Linked DNA regions of Oryzias latipes. The protein of the gene in region 4 purifies or fractionates together with the protein of the main gene of each other region. This does not show direct contact. Links are inferred from orthologs where the notes say so. Each region holds a gene or a part of one and is shown on either strand. Other genes may lie near its edges.

The links.
Region 1: the proteins of adra1d (region 4) and utrn purify together in Homo sapiens (tandem affinity purification; 4 studies listed by BioGRID and IntAct, with this or other methods). This does not show direct contact. The link is inferred for Oryzias latipes from reciprocal best matches to the Homo sapiens genes ADRA1D and UTRN.
Region 2: the proteins of adra1d (region 4) and dtna purify together in Homo sapiens (tandem affinity purification; 4 studies listed by BioGRID and IntAct, with this or other methods). This does not show direct contact. The link is inferred for Oryzias latipes from reciprocal best matches to the Homo sapiens genes ADRA1D and DTNA.
Region 3: the proteins of adra1d (region 4) and sntb2 purify together in Homo sapiens (tandem affinity purification; 4 studies listed by BioGRID and IntAct, with this or other methods). This does not show direct contact. The link is inferred for Oryzias latipes from reciprocal best matches to the Homo sapiens genes ADRA1D and SNTB2.
Region 5: the proteins of adra1d (region 4) and ctnnal1 purify together in Homo sapiens (tandem affinity purification; 3 studies listed by IntAct, with this or other methods). This does not show direct contact. The link is inferred for Oryzias latipes from reciprocal best matches to the Homo sapiens genes ADRA1D and CTNNAL1.
Region 6: the proteins of adra1d (region 4) and sntb1 purify together in Homo sapiens (tandem affinity purification; 4 studies listed by BioGRID and IntAct, with this or other methods). This does not show direct contact. The link is inferred for Oryzias latipes from reciprocal best matches to the Homo sapiens genes ADRA1D and SNTB1.

Annotation. Positions count from the first base shown.
Region 1 is NC_019882.2:8,709,336-8,712,835, reverse strand, and holds part of utrn (utrophin), read left to right. Parts: intron 1-257; coding exon 258-419; intron 420-1,346; coding exon 1,347-1,578; intron 1,579-3,500.
Region 2 is NC_019875.2:27,149,389-27,152,888, reverse strand, and holds part of dtna (dystrobrevin alpha), read right to left. Parts: intron 3,313-3,500; coding exon 3,304-3,312; intron 3,073-3,303; coding exon 2,989-3,072; intron 2,808-2,988; coding exon 2,739-2,807; intron 1-2,738. UniProt on the Homo sapiens protein: May be involved in the formation and stability of synapses as well as being involved in the clustering of nicotinic acetylcholine receptors.
Region 3 is NC_019864.2:27,650,494-27,653,993, forward strand, and holds part of sntb2 (beta-2-syntrophin), read left to right. Parts: intron 1-722; coding exon 723-919; intron 920-3,232; coding exon 3,233-3,423; intron 3,424-3,500. UniProt on the Homo sapiens protein: Adapter protein that binds to and probably organizes the subcellular localization of a variety of membrane proteins. May link various receptors to the actin cytoskeleton and the dystrophin glycoprotein complex.
Region 4 is NC_019859.2:14,271,719-14,274,840, reverse strand, and holds the end of adra1d (alpha-1D adrenergic receptor), read left to right. Parts: intron 1-1,356; coding exon 1,357-1,907; 3' UTR 1,908-2,622; downstream 2,623-3,122. UniProt on the Homo sapiens protein: This alpha-adrenergic receptor mediates its effect through the influx of extracellular calcium.
Region 5 is NC_019869.2:9,199,866-9,203,365, forward strand, and holds part of ctnnal1 (alpha-catulin), read left to right. Parts: intron 1-1,046; coding exon 1,047-1,130; coding exon of another isoform or gene 1,131-1,148; exon of another isoform or gene 1,149-1,199; intron 1,200-1,839; coding exon 1,840-2,010; 3' UTR 2,011-3,500. UniProt on the Homo sapiens protein: May modulate the Rho pathway signaling by providing a scaffold for the Lbc Rho guanine nucleotide exchange factor (ARHGEF1).
Region 6 is NC_019874.2:10,594,485-10,598,449, reverse strand, and holds the start of sntb1 (beta-1-syntrophin), read left to right. Parts: upstream 1-1,165; 5' UTR 1,166-2,024; coding exon 2,025-2,556; intron 2,557-3,965. UniProt on the Homo sapiens protein: Adapter protein that binds to and probably organizes the subcellular localization of a variety of membrane proteins. May link various receptors to the actin cytoskeleton and the dystrophin glycoprotein complex.

The DNA.
Region 1 (3,500 bases), on a different chromosome or scaffold from region 4:
AATTACACAGATTATTTAACTGTTCTTTTTTAATTGATTTGTTCTGCCTCAAAACTAGAGAGAACTTTTTTTTTTCTCTGTGTTTTTCTTCAGTGGCCCTTGCTTTGTCACTTGGGAACCTAAATAGTTCAACATTCTGCTAAATTTTGCCTTTTCTTTTAAAGAGCTGCATGCTCTTAACCGAACAGACTGAGACTGCGAAGTGACGGACAGAAACAAGATGCCCTTGCTCATCGCTGACTCTCTGCTGTCCACAGGGATGATGAACATGCCCTCATCATTCAGTACTGCCAGACTCTGGGAGGGGAAGGCTCCCTGAGCAGCCAGCCTCAGAGTCCTGCCCAGATCCTTCAGGCTGTGGAGAAGGAGGAAAGAGGGGAGCTGGAGAAGATTATTGCTCGTCTGGAGGAGGAGCAGAGGTGAGCACCAGAGATGTGAAATACCAGAGGAATATTGCACACTTTGGGATAATCGTCTTAAAATGGATGGTCGTTTTTCAGATGATAACTTGATCTGAAGTTACCAGATTTTAAAAATGATGTACTCTTCAGACCTTTCCTGCTACAGAATTTACAGGCTGATTGCAAAGAGGTAGTTTTTCACTAAAAATGGGTAATGTGACTCTGTTCCCAGACAAAGTTTGGGGCTTTTTTCTGGCTTGCATGGATGCTTTCTGAAAAAAAACTGTGCTTCCAATGGAGTGATTTACCATTCACTTTTCCTGAGAGTGTTATAGAGACGAAGAGCTTTGCTGCCAGGTTCACAAGTGCCATCTTACGTAAAACACTGGAGTTGACGGTTCTGAGATTAAAGATCTTGAGGTGCAAGGAGACAGAATGTGGGTTTTTTTTCCACTAAAAGCAATCCACTGCTTAAAAGAAAAGGAAGTACGTGCTAGAGGGATAAAATTTGTTTATGATTCATTAATTTTCCAATTTTTCCTTCATCATTTAGAGTACAATAACATGTTCTGTCTTCACGGGTTAAGAAAAATATGAATTCTTAATTTCAGTTTTGCTTACACATGTGTGTTTCTTCTTGTTACATACTTGTCTCATAGAGTGTGCATATTCAATAGTAATGTCTCTATATTGTTAATTATTGCACATTTTGTTGTGTAAACAAATGAGATAATGTTGCTCAGATTATTGTTGTCAAACTTACATGTGGTTCTGCAGAGATCGAGTAGATAATGATGTTTTGCGGCGCACATCCTTTGGCAGTGTTTGATCAAAGATCTACTACATGACTGTAATAGAAAGCAAATAAACAAAGTAAATAAGTGGAAAAGCTATTCTTCCTGTTTCACTTTACAACCTTGTTGATTTTTTTCCCTGTTTTCTCAGGACACTGCAGAGAGAATATGAGCTGTTAAAGGAGCAGCATGGCCAAAGAGGGGCCCCGTCTGGAAGCCTATCCGAGGCTTCCTCAGCCCACCCCGACGAGGCCGACCTCTTAGCCGAGGCCAAGCTGCTGCGGCAGCACAAAGGTCGGCTGGAGGCTCGCATGCACATCCTGGAAGACCACAACAAGCAACTGGAGTCTCAGCTCCACCGCCTCCGACAACTGCTGCACCAGGTGACCCTCTGCTCAGTTTAGAAGATGGAGATTGTGGAAACATTCCAGTTTTAAGACTTCTGTCAAAAGGTTTTTCAATCTTGAGGAAATTGGAGCTGGAGTAGAAGATTGGCACCATGCATTTTTAAAATAAAATAAAAGGACCAAAAATAATATAAAAAGTCTTAAGAGGAAATGTCGTGGATAAATACAGAAATGATTAAAAATCTTAGTTAATTTTTCCAACTAACTAAATAATGATTTAATACAAAGTCCAACTTTAGTTTCGTTGATTGAAATGTATTTTTTCCCTACATTTTAATTTATTCTCTAAACAGCAGTTTTTATATTACTGCAGAAAAGTCTTTAACATTATTATAATTGCAGCCTCACCTGCAGACTAATAACTATCAATATATGCAAAACTATCTATTTGCTAATCCCAAAGTTTCCTTTTTGTTCATATTTAATTAAGAATTTCTCTTACTAATGCACAGAAATGCTTTATCCACTTCAGCTTTTGAATCTAATAGGATTTATGAATCAAGTGCTTTATTTCAAACTCTAAATAAAAATGTATAGATTAAGACAAGGTGTGATAATGTCAATTTAAACCTTACATTGCTCCTCATTAAAGCACAGGTTTATTCTGGTGGTCTCATCTGTAGCAAATATGTTTTCATGGTTATTTAGTTGCAGTACAGGTTGCATTCTCAGAAGTTACATGGAACAGATACATTTACCTCAAGTAATTATTACTTATTTCAACCACATTTTCTTCAACTTTGTCTATAAAGTACTTTTTTTTTTTTGAAAGGAGCAAGTAGAAAAGGGCACACCCGTGCATTCACTCAGTCAGACAAGTATTGTACTTCAAAACAGTTCTATATAAAAAACAATCTAATTAAATGAACCCCTGTTGAAGATGGATGTTCTACATTGAGGAGAGTTTGTCCTATAAGCAAGTCTTCATCATAAACATAGACTGAACTTACAATCATCTCCCACGTCTAAGTGGTACTTTATGCCTTCAGCTCCCAGGCTGCATTATTTCATTAACAGTCACTCCATTCCCCTAAATATGTCTTCCTAAAGTTAGATTGTTCAGCTCCAGTCCTGATAGATCAGAACAGAAAACTGTGGTGCCAGGGAGCTGTGGGGCAAAGCACTAAGTCATAACAATTGGGGGGTGGGACCATGTAACAAAGCCCATTTTTAAAGGGCGATGAGGAACCCTTGACCCTTTTGTGTGGAATAGCATTCACCGCATTAGACATTTCTGAATTTAGAAGAAAAGGTTCAGAATTTTTAAGATAAAATTACTTATTGGGATACATTTGCTTTATATGATTTAATGTATTTTGTTTTTTTAAATTACATAATTTAAATGTTTGGGCTCATATTGGAAGTCCTTAATCTAAAAACTATATACTTTGAGGTTTCTGATGTATTTTAAGGACATATTTGATGTGACTTTCACCTCAATCATATTTGGAATAAAACTGCTATATATTTAACCCATAATTCATTTACTGTACCTCTGCAGCTTAAAAACAATGAAAATTATGTTTTTGGTGCTTTTAACATGTTCTTAGCATTTTATTGATGATGGAAGGCATATATAAAGAAAATTGAGATTAAAACTGCAATTGTGTTTTTTTCAAATAGTGGTGATTCAGGAGAGGTAAAATAAATACAGTTGGGAAAGGATCGTTTTTGTTACGTAGAAAATACTCTGGGTGGGCCACCAGCTCCCTGTTCAACTCCATTCTGATGCATCCACCTGCAGATCCATATATGTTCTAATGGTTCTAATGTGTTGGAAAGGTATCTTCTGTGGTTCTTATTTGAAAGTGCATCCCCCCCCCGCATCGTCCATCTCCCTTTGAAATCCAGACCATCCACATCATTGCAGACTCTGTAATACAGTTGGTATTCTGAGG
Region 2 (3,500 bases), on a different chromosome or scaffold from region 4:
AAAATATATATAAAACATGGACAAAAAATATATAAAAATAATATCATAATCTCTTGATGTTTTGTTATTTAAACAAAACTGTTTGACATTGAAACATTATGTGGTGACTAAAAATGTCAACCACTATAGTTGTAAATCTAGCTGCAGTAACATTTTGACTGCATGCTTCCCAAAGATTTCCCACATTTATGCTCTGTAAGGACTTTAGCACTAATCCAACAATAGTTAATCCTTTAGCTTTAGCCTATTTCAACTATTTCCCACTAATATTTTGATTATGTTATAAAATAACATAAAAAGTAAGTTCTGCCTCAATGAATTCAATGTTTTCCAGTGATGTTAAAAATTCACAATAGCAATTAGGTTTAATTATTTCATATCTTATTAATATGTTGGATAATCTAATACTAAAGTTGGATGGCTGCTGTTTTACAGCAGTAATGACACTTTTTCTTTTGTTAATTAATAAAAAGATGGCCATCAAATCATTGTTATACATATCAAAAGCTCTGCTATGTAATTTTTAAACCAGAAGATGTTTTATAAGATCAATAAAAACATTGTTTTGAAACACATAAAGTCTAACGGTCACACCAAAGCTTACGCCTTAGTCACAGCTGGCCTTACGGGTGGATTCGGACGGTCTGCAGGTGAAAAACGGGCAAACCTGTGCAGGTGGCCTGCATGAAATGTTAAAGTCATAAGTCGCTCATTGAGTCAATAGAGCGAAAATGTTCGTGCCCATTTTTTTCGACTGATTTTTTATTTCTCCACCCCCCAAAGCCTGTGGACTGCGCAAGGTGCCGGTTAGTGCAGTTCAAATGAGAAGTGCACACCCCTGCAGCTTGCCTGTTAGAAACTAGAAAACGAGACAGGGTGCAGTTTATGTGGGTGTCCTATGGGCGTCCTACAGGCACTAACCTACTGTTTCACGTGCACAGTCCATGCATGCAGCATTTGTAATTGGTCAGGAGATAGCCGGTACTCGCACCTTACCACCGACTATAGTGTGGCGTGGGGCACCGCTCGACAAAAAAACTTCACACTATATTTGCCACACGTGCAAAAATGGTATGTTCCACTTTTATCACATGCCTTGAGGTTAGGGCTGCACAATATGAGGAAAACTCGCAAATTGCGTTATCAGTGATCAATATTGTGATGACGATACACCTTGCGATACATGTACACATAGCAAAACAACTAAAAACGTCATTTCTATTTTGCTGCAACAGTTTAATTCAAATAAGAGTCAACACACCTTAAATTACACTTCAAATGACCCTAGTCTAAATTGGAGGCGGGCATCCGCATCCGCGGTCAAATGCATAAAGGGATTTATTTGATTTGTTAAATAATTCAAGCTGCCATTAGATTGTTTTAGCACAGTTTAAGGTACAACCCTATAACCTGCAGCATGCGTACCGGTCAATCCTGACTAAGGCCTTACGCAGAAAGCTATCCTATGATCATTTTATAGGTTTTATAGACATCAAACATAAGCTGTTGCTTGTATAGATAGAATGATTGAAATATTTAAATTTATCCTTGATAAAGAAATTTATTTCCAACGATATGTGCCCAAGCGTGTTACATACTTCTCAACAGCTTCAAATATATCCAGCAATTATCTCCTGGATGCCAAAATACACACAATACATGTGTTTTGCAGGATTCCTGCTTTTGTGACGCCTGAAAAACAACAATGTCCTCATGTAACAAAACTGACTTAATAACCTAAGACCCAGAACATGTTAAGTGTGGTGAGGATGACACTAAAACAAGCACCGTTTTAGCAACCTCCTTTTTGAATTTAATAAGAGATTAAACAAACAACAAGCTGCAGGGTGAGTAAAACCAATGACTCAGGATGACTAAGCTTGTGAGCAACAAAGAAAATAAGCAGAAAAAAAATCTTAGTAAAAACTGTGGAAAACACTGCTGTTTTTGGAACACTGTGCATCGCTGATACTCTATTTTGAAGCATTAATTGTTGATTGAAGGAACAAAACATGTGCAATGAATTGCTCTGTGTGCTAGAAACAGGTCACGTAAAGTGTATGAGTCAGATCTCTCGTCAGCTTGAACCATGTAGTGGCTCAACAGAGGACATTCATGAAAAAATCTGAAATTCAACATTTTCTAAGTTTAGGAATGAAAGTCAAAGTATTTTCTGATACATTTTCTTGAGCCTTGTGTTAAATATTCTTCCAGCTATGTACTTAAAAGAGTGCTACTCCCTCCTTACATTATCAGAAGGACTTTCTTTAGGTTATGAAAGGGAGCAGTGTTTCCCAAAGAACCGCACATGACAGGTGCAGCCATTGAGGAGTTTCAAGTACTGCCATTAATCTCAAGTCAATCTTCAAAAAAGCTACGTTAATAAGCAACTAAAAGACTAAAGGAGTCCCACTTCATCGGAACAAGCACACAGTTTTTTCTAAGCGACAGCAAAGAAAACCTCAACCCCAGCAGAGACTAATAGTAGCATTCAGTGCTTAATCGTATGAGCCGCCAGTTAGTTTTTTTACATTTCTGAGTGAATGAAAAGCTTGAAAATAGACACTCCAAACTTATGGCAAACAATCTTCATGAACTAGCCCCATGAGAACAGCAGAGTAAACCCTTGTCTACAAGGAAGCTAATAGTTTTCCAAGAAACATAAGCACTCTACTCCATGCCGAGCAGTTATTACCTATATTAGTCCACACATGGATTTGCACACCTGTGTCACTTACCCTTTCCCTCTCAACAGATGAGGAGCGGCCCCCGTCAGGGGCTTTCTCTGTGTAACATCATTATTCTTGCTGCAAGGCAAGCCATTTACTTTCAGCTCAAGGAGCAACAAAAAGGGGTTAAACACAAATAAAGGGAGGAAAATAAAAGACGGCGCGGGTCGCATGGACACGGGGCCTTTAGGGATCACGACAAACATAAAAGATGTGTTATAAAATCCAGGGCATCTATTGTTAACCTGGCTGTACTCACTTTTTGGTGGAGTAAGGGTTCCCTGATGTAGGCATGGAGTGTGAGAACAAGTATTCATTGGCGATGTTCACTGGTCTCGGTGGCCTGAACAGGAAATAATGCTGCTTTAAATTTAAACAAACAAAGCATCTTTTTCAAAAATCTGCATTTCAGTGGACACAGGATGATACAAGATGACTGGTTATGTATCACGTATGCAACATGCATGTGTAAATGAATGATTAAACAAAGCTTTTTTTCACAGTGGATGATTGATTACAAACTGAGAGCAATGAAAAAGCACACGAGTGGGTAAAATAATCGAAACCAACTCACCACGTGTCTCTTTTTGAGGAAAGTAAAGAACAAGGGAAGCAATATTTGATTAAACATTTGCCCAGAAATTAGTCAAAATCCAAGAAAAGAGAGTGAAAACAAACAGTTTTACTAATCTGAGAATGTAGAAAGTAAACCTTAGCTATGCCTTTGTCACATGCGCCTGTTCAGGTGCTATGGGGTTTTGGGTTGTCTGG
Region 3 (3,500 bases), on a different chromosome or scaffold from region 4:
AACCAAAAAGAAGGACTACAGATGTTTTAGGGACTCCTTGCTACACACTTTATACTCTCCTCTTGGACAGACACAAACATTTTCACACTTTTCTCTCCTTTTTAAACTCTCAAAGCTGATAGAAGAAGAAGAAGAAGTCTACTACTATGGAATGAAAACAAAGACCCCGCAGTGGAACATTTATTCAAATTTGGCAAACTCTACACATTCCATTCAGGAGGTACGGCACAGAGGAGACTAAGTGACAAGGTCAACAGCCAATCAGAATGCAGAACATAATCCTATGTAAAAAAAAACAAAAAAAACATGCAAATTTACACTATAAAAAATCTGGGGAAACAGCAAGACTGCAGAAGGTGGAGCACATTCTAGTGAGGGAACACTGTGTATGAGAAGTCCATGTGAACCTTTCTTATTTCCAATAATCTGCATTTACTGCACAGATTATCACAAGAAAAGCTTTATGTTAATAATATTTTAGCAGTTATATAAATGAAAATGATATAGTTGTGATTTATGTCTACAAAACTTCTCTAATATTAAAAAAGTGGATACAAATTTAGTCTAAAGCGGTCTTCTTAACGCAGAAAGAAGCCTCTTGGTTTGTAAATGTGGCAGCGTGGAGTCAGATCGTGTCTCAAGGAACGATGCTCCATGTTTTTACGCAACCCCTTCAATCCGGTACCTGGCTTCAGGGCGAACCTCCATCCGTGTCTCCTCAGACTGGTCCACTCCGGCAGCTCCGGGGGTTCTCCCTCCCAGGGGTCGGACATGGTGTTTGCCACTCGGACCGGCACCAGTCGAGGCATCGAGTCACACGTCTTCCGCGTGGAAACTCACTGGGACCTTTCCTCCTGGACGCGAGCTCTGGTGCAGGGTGTCCACACGGCTGCAGAGATCATCCAGGAGGTCTCCATTGGTGAGTCTGCAGGTTGAAAGAGACCTGAGTAATCGGATTACTTTTGCATAAAATGTGAATTCAGTGCTCCTCTGTAATGGACACGTTTAAAATCAAAAGATCACATTATGAGGATTTGACTTCCCTCTAAATAGACAAAGTATAGTTCAACTTTAAAGCCTGGAAGATCAATAATGAAGAAAAGGATAAAAGACTCAAGAGAGTGTTTGTGGAACCGCCAGCAGGTTCTGCAGATGCTACAAACACAGGAGCATCTGCAGAACCTGCTGGCGGTTCCACAAACACTCTACAGCTACAGAGCAGCTGATTCAGTTCAGTTTTAGGTCTATAGCCCAAATATTACAACACAGTTGTCTCAACGGGCTTCACTAATTGTACAAAACCTAAAATCAGTCATAAAGTGCAATAGCTGATTACTAAACAGACTCAACGAAACTGGGCATCCCTGCCCTTAGATACTCCTCCGATTAGGTAGAACTCTACAAAAACAGATTCCAGGAAAAAAAAAATGTCCACATGAAGCAGGGATCCTCTCCCAGAACCGTGTGTTTCATTTCTAAGCTGTGGAGCAAACTGTGTCAGATTCAGATCAGTGAGGTGCCGGTTTCAGCCCCGGAGGAGCTGACGGCGTTTGAAAGGACACCACCCACCTCTGCGAAGCTCTGAATTTATGTTATGAAAAGGCTTTTCTGACAGGATAACAGAAAGTTTTCCTGTTAGAAAACTTGGAAAGCATTTAAATAGGAACACAGATTTAGTTTTCTTAAATTGTTGTTTTTATGTTAAGTTTCACTAAACGTCTTTTTGCTATCAGGCTTATTTTCAGAAGTGGTTTAAATTGAAAGCTTTGTTATAGTTGGTGCATAAGAAGTAGTTGTATTTTTTTTTTAAAGACACGGACCGATGAGTTCACTGAGAAAATAATGACAAAGAATCAGGTTCTTGACGTGCAGGGCTAATGGTACGCATGGCTCCTGACATGACTTATTCTAAATTTTGATGCAAATGTTTGTACTTTTACTGCAAATGAATATTGGCCCCACATATTTGGTTACCTGCCATCTTACTGATGATCGGTATCGGCCCAAAAAACACAAAAGAACCTATTTGCAAACATGTCACCTTTGTAAATGACACAGACATGCGTGCTGTGTCAGGAACCACCTGACATGCCCGGTGGCCCCTGTGCACATGTGCTGTTGTTGCTGTGTGCACATCAGCAGCGGTGTGGTTTAACACAGGATGTGGTTTTACATTTGCCCATGACATCATCAGCTTTACCAACAAATATTACAATGCTCTAGTTTTTTCTGGGGTACAAATTTGACAAACTAATCCAGCAGACAATAAAAAAAAAAAGCTTTTTCCTGTAAACATGCAGGTTTTTTTGTGAGGTGAGGTGTGTACAGCAGCAGGAAGCTGCAGAAATCAGTTGTAGCTGTAAAAGCAGCTGCAGAAAGGAGCTACTGAGAGCAGCTGCGGAGAGCTGCATGAAGCAGCTGCAGAGAGCAGCTTCTCTGTGCAGCCACTCTCTGCAGCTGCGGGGAGAAGCTGCAGAGAGCGGCTGCTCTAGGCAGCTGCTCCATGCAGCTCTCTGCAGCCACCTAGAGCAGCTTCTCTGTGCATCTGTTCTCTGCAGCTGCATGGAGCAGCTGCAGAGAGCAGCTTCTCTCTGCAGCTGCGGGGAGAAGCTGCAGAGAGCGGCTGCTCTAGGCAGCTGCTCTCTGCAGCTGCAGGGAGAAGCTGCAGAGAAACGCTGCATGGAGAAGCTGCTTTCTGCAGCTGCACGGAGAAGCTGCTTTCTGCAGCTGCATGGAGAAGCTGCTTTCTGCAGCTGCACGGAGAAGCTGCTTTCTGCAGCTGAAGAGACACACCGAGCCATTGGCCGCCCCGCAGGAACCCAGTAGTTCAGAAAAGCTCGGTCCTCTCAATCCAACACATGGAAATACTTAAAGATCAAATTACCTCACAGGGAGCTGCATCAGGGCAACTGGCTTTTTTGAAAGAGTCGCCGCTGGCTTTAAACAACAGAACAAACTTGTTGTTGTTTTTTTTGCAATAAATAAACTTTTAGCAAAATTTAAAATATTTTTAATTTCAAAGGTTTTCAACACTTTAGTCAATAACCTTTTTTTAATGTTTTATCGAGTTCTTCACCTGACTATAAATTGCCGTTTTTCCCGTTGACATTTATTTGCTCCATTTTTTGTGGTTTTCTTTTGAACTGCTTCACTTTTCTGAATGTATCCTAAAAGCTTGAGGTGAGGAAAGGCGTGGTCGTTCCCACCTTGACCTGTTGCTGTTTTCTGCCAGGCTGCACGCTGAACAGGCAGGACGTTCGACTGACGCTGCACTTCGAGATGGGCTTCACCGTGACGAGGGAGCCGGCCGACCCCCCGGGGGGTGCGGTGCTCTACAGATATCCCTATGAGAAGCTCAAAATGTCCGCCGACGATGGAATACGGAACCTTTATCTTGACTTTGGAGGTCCGGAGGGAGAAATGGTTTGTTTGCGAGAGTCTTTTATTTTTCCAACAAGTGTGAGAAACAGAAAAAGACTTTTTTTGTCTGCGACTCTGCA
Region 4 (3,122 bases):
AGGTGAGTGACGGCAGACTTCCACACAGGTGACCTTCGTTGGGTAAATCCTGAGACAGAGAGGCAGAACATGAGAGCAAGGCAGGACAAAGACATGGGACTTGAGCAGGCTGACCAGGCGTAGTCACCGTTAGGAGTTAACGAACTGGCGTCGATGAATGGGCTGGATCTCCTTAAGTGTAGGCAGGTTGATGAGATGAGGTGGTCACAGCTGGTGGAAGTCAGGAGCAGAGCTGAGGGGGCGGGGCTGACCGAGGCACCGTGACAACCCAAAGTCAATTCAGTCGTCATCTTTTCACTATACAGATGCCGTAATGTTTAAGCCAGATGACGTCAGTAATTAGTGATTGTTCTGAGTCAGTCTGAGTCATCATATGTGTGGCAACCACTCCTGCTAATCAGGAGTGAGCTTGTTGCAAGGCCGCCCCTACCATTTGAAAGCAGACTCAGGAGAATCTGTCACACCTTTCAAATGTGCAACGTTAGACCACAAACTTCAATGGAGGCCTCTGATTGGCCAGTTTATAATTAGAATAATTTCCACTTCAGAATAAAATATGAAAAAAAGAAATATGATTAGCAAGAACTGAGTAATGACTAAGTAATAGAATTGTTTTCGTCTGTAGAAGTCTATGGGATTTTGGCTTCTTGGAGCCAGTGGGTACCTTCTATTTGGAATGCGAGGGGGCAGGAGTCACATTGTCCAGTTCTCATATATTATCATTGGCAAAAACCCATAATTTATAACCAATACTTGCGTTTTGGTGTAAGTAAATGCGTTTGTGATACGAGCTATAATGGCACAAACAAGCATTAAAAAGTGTTTCCTCTTAGAGTGTCTGTTATTAAAAATGTCACCTGATGACCCTGACAGGTTGTTACCATGCACCTTAACAGTTTTAAAAAGTAGGTTTAATATGCTGCTTAATATTTCATTACCTCTTATTTTTACAGGCCTCAGCTCTTAAGAGTCATATTTCTGATGAACAAAATGTCCTTTTGCTTTTGTTAATAAAAATGACCAAACTTTGAAGAAAAGATTACCCAAAAAATTAATATGAGGCTGTTGAAGATTTAAAAATAAATAACTAAATCTGGCAAAATACCATAATAGGTTGCTTTGCTGGTAATGAGGTTGATGGCAGAGGACCCACTATCATCAATAATTCCAAAAATAGAAACTTTTAAAAAATTTAGATCATGGTTTCTTTATGACTTATAAAATATTTAGATTAAAAAAAAAAAGAACTTATCTGAATGAACTATCCAACATGTAAATCTAATGTATAAAGTGTCCTTACTCTGCAAAGATTTGGCTTCAGTTGATGCTAATCCTCATGTTTCCATCCCTTTCAAGGTTCCGTCTTCCCAGCACTGAAGCCCTCTGAAACTGTGTTCAAGGTGGTGTTTTGGCTGGGATACTTCAACAGCTGCATCAATCCAATGATCTACCCCTGCTCTAGCAAAGAGTTCCAGCGAGCATTCATTCGACTGCTCAAATGCCAGTGCCATCAAAAGCGGAGGGTCCTGCGCCGCTTCTATGACCAGAGGTGGCGGACAGCTGTGAAAGGAATGGCAAGGGATCAGAGGGGAGAATACACACCTGGCTATGCCGTGCATGAATCATGCAGCAGCTCTTTATTGCATAAGAAGAAAGGTTGTTCACTCGGTTTAAAGAGATGGAGCCTTTTTCCGCCTCTGCAGAACTCCTCCTTTCAGTTTAAGGAAAAAGTCAACAATCTGTCCAACAAGATCAAGGGAGGGACAGGAAAAGGAGCCACACCTGGCGGGGGCAGGAGGGACACTGTGGACACAGTTTCAATGGGAATCTGCAATTCTTGTGAGCAGGGCAGTTTTCAGTTCTATGATCTGGCAGAATGTCACGGCCTGAAAGAGACCGACATTTAGAGTTCTCCCTGCAGAGAGTTATTTATTTTCAAAGTGGCCATTCTTAAACAATGTGCAAATAAGACTGTGAGCAGGCACACATTCTGAGAGTTTCACAAAATTATCTAAAATTCTTCACTATGACTTTTCTTAAAATGAAATATTTTGTGAAAGCCAGGTTGTGGAGATCACAACAGTAGCAAACCTATCAGACTGGTTGTTGTGATTTTAAGGCACCATGTGTCTGTGTCATAAAATCAGTGTTTGGATTAGGTACAAAAGAAAAACACAATGAAAAACTAGAAAGAATGCACAAAAAATTCAATTTTATTTCCTTTTGTTTGAATAAAACTGTCTTTTTGGTTTCAAAGGTTAGTGTGTTGACCCTATGTGATGTGGAAAATGATTTGCTTTATATTTTTTTTTTATTTAAAGACAGTAAAGCATTTTATTGACAAGACTGCTGAGTGCAATTTCTATTGTTTGTATCAAATGTGATATCAAACGTGAAATTTCACACTGGACTCAATTTGATCATGTGCATTCTTTAACATTTTGAGAAGGTTTTGTGAGCAAAAAAGGTTATCGAAGAATGAAAATTCTTAACTTGATTTATTTTGTAGGATTCATGGGGAACAATGAAGTAAAACTTGTAAATCCAAATAAGCTCTAATGTGAAATACATGTACTTTTTTGATGCTATGATTATGAATAATAAAAGCTAAATAAAAAAAAGGTAAAGAAGTCCAATTAAATCAGGATTTTTGTTCAGACAAAATACACCAAAGCACCCTGTTTAAAACATAAATCTGCCCTATCCTGAAGATAGGGCATGCACAATTCTTCCCATTGGTTCCTCCTTACCATTAAATCCAACCAATACATTTTTTTATTTTAAAATAGAGTAAATTCAAGACCTGAATGTGTCAGAGATTTTCTAACAAAACCTCAATACTGTGGGAATTGTACAACCAACTCTTTTTAGCTGAAGCTGCAAGAACAGAAAGGGCATTATCAATCAATCTTAATCGCTTCCTGTTATTAGGTTGATCCTAGCAAGAGTACTCTGATCTTTTTCTGTCCAGAGGGGGAGGAGTCAGGCTCTTACTTTGCAGTCACTTGAAATTTTTTACTGAAACCAAGACTAACATATAAAAAAACAGGTTAAATTGATAAGGGAAGTAAAACAGAATAAATACCAAGCAACAATGGACATGTTATTTGATATTAGGGCAG
Region 5 (3,500 bases), on a different chromosome or scaffold from region 4:
ATTAGTTTATCAAGTCAAATAGACTTTCCGCTGAAGTATTTTATTGTTATTTCCAGTGCTTTATAGCATTCAACCAATTATTATTAGAATAATCATCAACTGAAACTTTATAATTAAAGGGAATGACTGTTTTGCTTTGAAATACACAAATTATTTTTCCAGAGAAACGTTTGGCTTGTAGAAACCTAATTTGGCCGGTAAACTTTGGATGTTACCGGCGTCCCGACTGGTAACCAAAAAAGTTCATCTAGAATTTTAGGTAATTCCACCTTTGTAGGAGCAATAAAGTTTTTTTTCCAGTCTATATATTGTAAGGACAGTGAAAAGAAGCTACCCCCCTTGTTAGTTATTTTTTAGTTATTTTATAATTGTTTAGTTTTAAAACTGTTCAAGTGTTTGTGGGTTCATTACAAACCGTGTAGTACTGTAAATGGCCAGCAGGTGGAACTAGCGCCGTCGAGTAAGAATGACGTCATGCTGGAGCGAAGGGCAGCATGAATGAGAGGGAAAGAAAAGAGATCTGAGGAGCACTGAGAGTTTGTTTTTCCAGAAAAAAATAACCCACATGTATGTGCTTGCATAAGCTGCTTTACTTGGAAAAACCCGTGAGTAAAACTCACAAAATGTGCAGTGGTGTGCTGTTCATTTAAAGTGTGCAACAATATTCTGCCCAGACCAAATTCCGATGGAATTCTGTTTCAATATGTAGCAATTTTCTTTCAATAGGAGGCAGTAAATATCTTTAATATCATAGAAAGGCTAAATCAACATTCAGAGACCTTAATTAAAGCATGTGTGAACATCTACTTTCATTAGGCGCAAAACAAATGAACAGACATTTGATCTGGCAGTTTAAACACTTTTACAATATTTAACGTTTTATATTTCCCACCAAAGCCCGCCATCAAAAGAGGGAAAAAAGAAAGAAAAAATACCTTTAAACATATCAACTGCTAATGTAAAAGCTTGGGTAAATGAACCCAATTCAATCAATCTGAAACATTTAATTTTAAGCGAAAATGTCTTTTCTTTGTATTTGTCTGCAGGTGGACTCCACCATTCAAGCAAGCAGAAGTCTAATGACAGTGGTCGCCTCCCTCCTTCCACTCTGTAACAAGCTCATCAAAAAGGTGACATCCAGACACTAAACTGAACACTAAACTCTTTAAAGTGCCACTTTAAATCCATCTTTTGATCTATTCTAAAAGCCCTCCCAGTGGTCTTTTAATTATAGTTGTGTTGTTTTTAGACAAAATCATAAAACCTGTGTCGTTTTCTAGGACATAGTTTCTGCAGAGCAGAAGGAGTGCGTTAAGAATTCACCTCTGAGTTATAGCTGTGAATGTCTTTCCTGTTCTCTCCCAGCTATCCAGCCGTACATTTTTGAACCAGATGTCACTTTGGACAAGGAAAACAAAGACGTACACGGATCAATTTGTCTACAAGTGGATGCATCAGAATGGAGCAAAGCAGGAAGCTTGTGAACCGCAATCTTATTCCAACGGCATTTTTCCGTCTGCTCCTGATTCACAAAAGCTTGAATAAAAACTCAGAAATACAATTTTAATCTGAAGATTTATATATATATATGTATATATATATATATATAGATATAGATATATATATAGATATGTATGTCCCTCATTATCAGAAAAATGCCACAGGAACATATTAAAAACACCAAAAAGACCATTTTCATAGAACTGGGTCTAATGAAAAATATCCCAAAACACAAAGATGCCGTCTAGAACAACATTCACTTCATTAAGTTCTCAGTTGGGGGAAAAGCATCAGTGTTTAAATGTCTTTGTCCCCTAATCAGAATCTCCTCTGTTGCAGCATAAATCAGAGCGTACAAGCCTCAGTTCCCCTCAGGACTGGAGGGAGACGCAGCACACGTCCGCTCCAGTTAAAAAAGACGCGGCCCTGAATGGCAATAACAGCAACGGCTTTGGAGTCAAGTCCTTGGACGAGCACATGGCCAGCCTCAACCTACTGGAGAGCAAATAATTCAGGAGATGATCTCCATGTTATCTTGTTCTCCGCATCAGCAAAGCAACCTCACTTCTGTGGAGCACTCCTGATCCAAGAAAGAGTCACTAGAAAAGTGGCTAGAAGCTGTAAAAACAGACTTTGTTGGGCAGAATTTGCCTTAGGTGGAATAATTCTGCAGTTAAAAACATAAAAGCCCAATCTGGAGGTAGTCATGCACTGTTAATCTGAAACAGTTCCATCCCAGTCCACTAGAGGACGACAATCAAAACTACCGGTAGTATTGCGTTTCCAAGAAAAGTGAGGTCATCTTAAATCTAATTTTGGAGTAACCGTCATTAGTTGAGCTAATAAAATGATCAGAAGTCAGGAAATAAAAGCCCCCCTTCAGCCATACATCTGTCTTCACCATGTGCCTCAGTGTAACAGACCTGTGTGCTTTGTGCTGTATTGTTAATGTATTGGACAAGTTACATAAGGACAAAAAAACACACAAGCTACATGATGCAGTCATCACTACAACCTTTGTGCAATCTCAGCCTGGTAACATGAACCTTTTAACTAAATGTTTTATAGTGGCCATACGAGTATTTTACAAGTTCAACTTCATTTGTCATCATTTCACGTGTGATAAGTTCATTTAGCGAAAGAAAATCTGTTCAATGCCAAATATTCTGACTACTGCAAACTAATCAGAAGTGACAGCGGAGACTTTTTTTTTTTACCTTATTTAGGAACGAAAAGGTTAAGTAAAGCTTTTTAACCCTTGTGCTATCTTAGATGACCCCACCCTTACATTGACGTCTTCTCCCTACCATGACTAAGGTGGATAAAGGTGGAAAGATTTCATGTAATCCATGGACACCAGTGAAGATCACAAATCATTGAAGAAAAAAGGTTCAGAGCACTGTCTAGTGGGTCTAGATGACCCAACTCCCAATGGTAAAGTGCCTAGGATAGCACAAGGGATAACGAGAAATTATATCAGATGCTACCGTCTTAAATATTACAGAAATTATTCAGAAGTGCCACGCATTTGTGGATACTGGGAAGCATCTGAACCACTGACTGTAAATGAGGACTGGACTGAGTAACCCCTCCCCCTGGCGTCCCAAACAGGAAGTATCCACTGGTTCCAAGAAACCAAAATCTCATAGACCTTTTATAAAGCACTAGTTAGCATTTTTGTTAGTCAGAATAATCTTTCTTACCCTGATACCTTATTTTTACATAATCTTGATAATTTTATATGTTTTTTTCTTTTTTGCAAGTTATTCAACGTATAAACTGACCAGACACCTCAATAACAGGTAACCCCCCCACATGGAACATTTAACAGATTACCCCCGCTTTAGGTGGTATAATAAGCTCACTCCTGATTGGTTAGAGGGGTTGCCATAGAAACAATGACTCAGATCGACTTGGACCAATCACTTGCTTACTGACAATTTCAGGCTCCAACAGGCAAAAAAATGACTGAATCGACTTCGTTGGAGCCAGAAGTCCTT
Region 6 (3,965 bases), on a different chromosome or scaffold from region 4:
ATCATATTTCATAATGCTGAAATTTCTTTGTTTTGAGAGTCATTAGAGAAGAATGTGCATTTCATCCACTGGCTAATTTCCACATAAAAGTATAGATCAATTAAAGTCTAACACCTCATTAAACCAAATATTTTTGTTTCTAAAAAAAGTTGTTCAATGCACTCTGTGCAGTTCAGCAGGAATTATTTCATGTCACAAAGACTCCCATCCTGATTCAATGCACACTATATAAACAGTATGAAAAACAGTCCTTATCTTTATAGCAGGTCCTTAAACATAATGCAGAAAAAAGTTTCATTTTAAGGGAAATGTGCAGGTGATGTTGGCCCTACATTCCTGACCAGAACCACCGACTCACTCGAACATGAAAATGTTCCTTTGCTTTGAATATTTGCCTTATGTACTCTAGTCTACAAAATACAGAAATGTGTTTTTTAATGGGATACTTTCTAAATCTAAGCAAGCATAAAACATGTCAAATAAAGTTTAAAAAAAGAGAGGCTGGATCCTGCAGACTAACAACACAGTTAGCGTGACTGCTATGACTCCAACAGGAGAAAGAGAAACGTAAGAGAACTGTTGTTCACTGACTCCATTATAAGCATTGTTGGGTCCGTCTCTTTGACTTAATTGCTACTTTTAGATGGAAGGAAACACTTTATTTTTCAAAATAAAATGTTTATGTGTAAAATACTGTGTTATTTAATCCTGCAAGACAAGAGATTGACATTTGCAAATAAATATTAAAAGGAAGACTCCTTTCAATCATGGACAACCCAGAGCATCCTCTCCACCCTGTTCTGGACAAACAGCGGAGCTCCTTCTCTAGGAGGCTCAGACAGCTCCGCTCCAAAACTGCCCGGTACCAGAAATCGTTCATACCCAATGCAATAACCCTGTACAACAAGTCACAATGCAAAAGATAACCTTTGCACAGTTTTTATTAGCTATTTATTTATTTATTTTTTCTATTTTGCACATTTCTTTTGCACATCTTTTTACCTGCACTGTTCTGTAAATAGCTTTTTAAATTATACCACCTTGTTTGCATTTATGCTACATTTTCTTTGTTCTTGTTTTTTTAAATTATTCTTAGTCTTTTTTCCCCTCTGCTGTCAGTTGCTATGGTGACAAACAAATTTCCCACGTGTGGGATCAATGAAGTATTTCTGATTCTGATTCTGATAATCTTTGAATGAAAGCCATTTTTGTGAAGTGACCAGCAGGTGTCATTGAAACCTTGATGTAAAAAAAAAGTTTTCAGGAGTTTCTTAGATGAAACTTCAGTTTTGGGCTGACAACTTGACTATTTTTGGCTTTAAAAACCCACAGAAATGCCCTTTAATTTCAAAGTTTTTCTGGTAACTAATAAATACTGTAGTTTATGTTTAGAGAACCATATTTCCCCATAACATGGGAAATTCCTTTTTTTTTAGATGCTTCAACAAAAGTCAGTGCACTCATTCTTGGAAACATCTAAACTAGGGGGTTAGATTCATTCTTGTTTCCACATGTTTGATGTAAACCATTTATGACCATGAGGGCTCAAAATCAATTATAGTTAAAGAAATTTAAAGATCTGACAAAGTAAAAATGTGTGGGTTTTTTTTTTTTTGGTCCTGTGAAGTTCCTGAGTTCAAATGAAACAGAAGTCTGACGTAAAATAAGAATGTCATACATCTTTAAAGGAATACTTTGACTTGTTGTTCTCCCTGAAAGTCGAGTGAAGGACATGAACGTAATGCTTTTGCACTCACAGCTTCAGGCTCAGAGCCAGTCGCGCGCACTTGAGAGATGATGAACAATGTTTGCGGGAGCTGAACATGGGAAAACTCCTCCCCGCAAAGAGGATCTCCGGGCTGGCGGACTCAGAGAGGGATCTGTGAGGCTGCGCTGACAAATCCCACGGAAAACTTCACGGAGGACGAAGTCCAGCCTGATCTGGAGGAAGTCGGGGTGTCGGTGATTGGGTGAGAGCGCGCTGGGAACTTAATCACATGTGATTTTACAGAAATGCTGCAAAGATGGCGGTGGTAGCAACGGCCGGAGTTGCGAGCGCCGGCTCTGGGGCGCAGAAAAGTGGATTCGCGGAGGTTCTGGTGCGGGAGAGCTGGCACAAAGTTTTGGTCAACTTGAGCGTGGACGCGCTCACGCTGAGCTGCGAGGACGACGGCGCACAGGACAACTTCAACGGCGTCACAAATGGATCTTACCTTGATAACAGGAACGCCAACTCAAATAATGGCCCCCAGGCGGTGCGCACCGCGTTCACGGACCTCCCGGAGCGAGTGCCAGAAGCGATCGCCAACAAGAAGCGGTGCGTCAAGGTGACCAAGCAGGAAGTCGGGGGACTCGGGATCAGCATTAAAGGAGGGAAAGAGAACAAAATGCCTATTCTCATTAGTAAGATCTTCAAGGGGCTTGCAGCAGACCAGACTCAGTCTCTGTATGTCGGGGACGCCATCCTCACCGTGAACGGCATGAACCTGCGGGACGCGACCCACGACGAGGCTGTGCAGGCGCTAAAACGAGCGGGGAAGGAGGTGACTCTGGAAGGTAGGTCAGAAAGGAGGACAGGGAGTCCCAGGCTTTTTTTTAGATTTCCTTTACCTGCATGCACATTCCTAAATTAATGGCTATGCGGTTCCAAAAGTGCCTTAATCCTGTTTAAATGACCACTTGTTGAAAGCAGGGACGGACATAAGCATGGGCGGGGGGCGGGGGGGAAGTGCCCCACAAATGAGGTGACTGTCCCCCCAAAATTCAAAATCAACTACAAAGAAGATGGAAAAAAAGACAAAATACAAATAAACAACCCCCCTCCCCACACACACAAAATAAATAATTACAAATGTAAGAAGAAGAAAAAAAGATTCATGTCGCACAAGATGCATATTGCTACATTGCCCGGCCCGCACGTGTTTTAAGTACGATCAGTGCTACATTTTGATGTTGGTCGCACATTTTTTTAAGGGGTAATTGTAAAACAGGAATGATCACCAACTGGCACATAGAATATTTAAAGTTTGTGTACATTAAGCCACATAGGCTCAGCATTCAAAATAAATGCGAGCAAGAAAACAGTTCAGCACGGCCCTCACATGGTTTAGAAATTACGTGTGTATAGTCACTTCCAAAAATAAAAGACAAAAAAAACATGTAAGGATGGGCAGATGGACAGACAGACAAATAGACATAAAAAAAAAGATAAATGCTTCCTCAACCAGTGTTCTGCTTGTGCCTGTCCCAAGCCCGGTAAATGGAGTACGTAGTGTCAGGAAGAACATTCAACATAAATCTCAGGAAACATATAAAAGGAGAAGATAGATACATGGATAGATGAACTGATATGATGACAGCATAGTTTTCAAAGCTAACGAGGAAGCAACAAAATGTTGCAGTACCTCAAATGACCAGAGAGGCTTGTGCTTAGAGGGAGCAATTTCCCATTAATGCCACCCCTTAAAATGAACCCCTTTAATGCCTGGTGACATCAATGGTTTCATATTTAATACATAAATGGTATTTTCAGATGATGGTTGTGGTGGATTCTGGATACAGAGCTTGGATGTTTAGCTCGTTTCCTCCATTTTAGCTTTAGCATCTACTATATATTTGGGTTTATGTTGAGAGGTAAACTGTTTTAACACGCTCTCTGGGAGTCCTCTGTTATCTTTTTTCCAGTAAGTACTAAATAAACTACTTTATATTTCATGTAAATACTCGTAAAAAATATTATGATCATTTCTGTTTGTTTCAATAATATGATTGAACTTTTTTTTTTAAATGTCCTTCCATTAATATCTTTCATTAGTTATTTTGATTTGTAATGTTAAAAAGTTTTACATTTCCCTCGTATTATAATTTATGTTGTTTTCTTGTATAAAGGTTATAATACATAACGACAGGATTCAGAAATTCTACAGTAAATTTTAAAATCTATTGATGTAAAGTGACAGAAATCA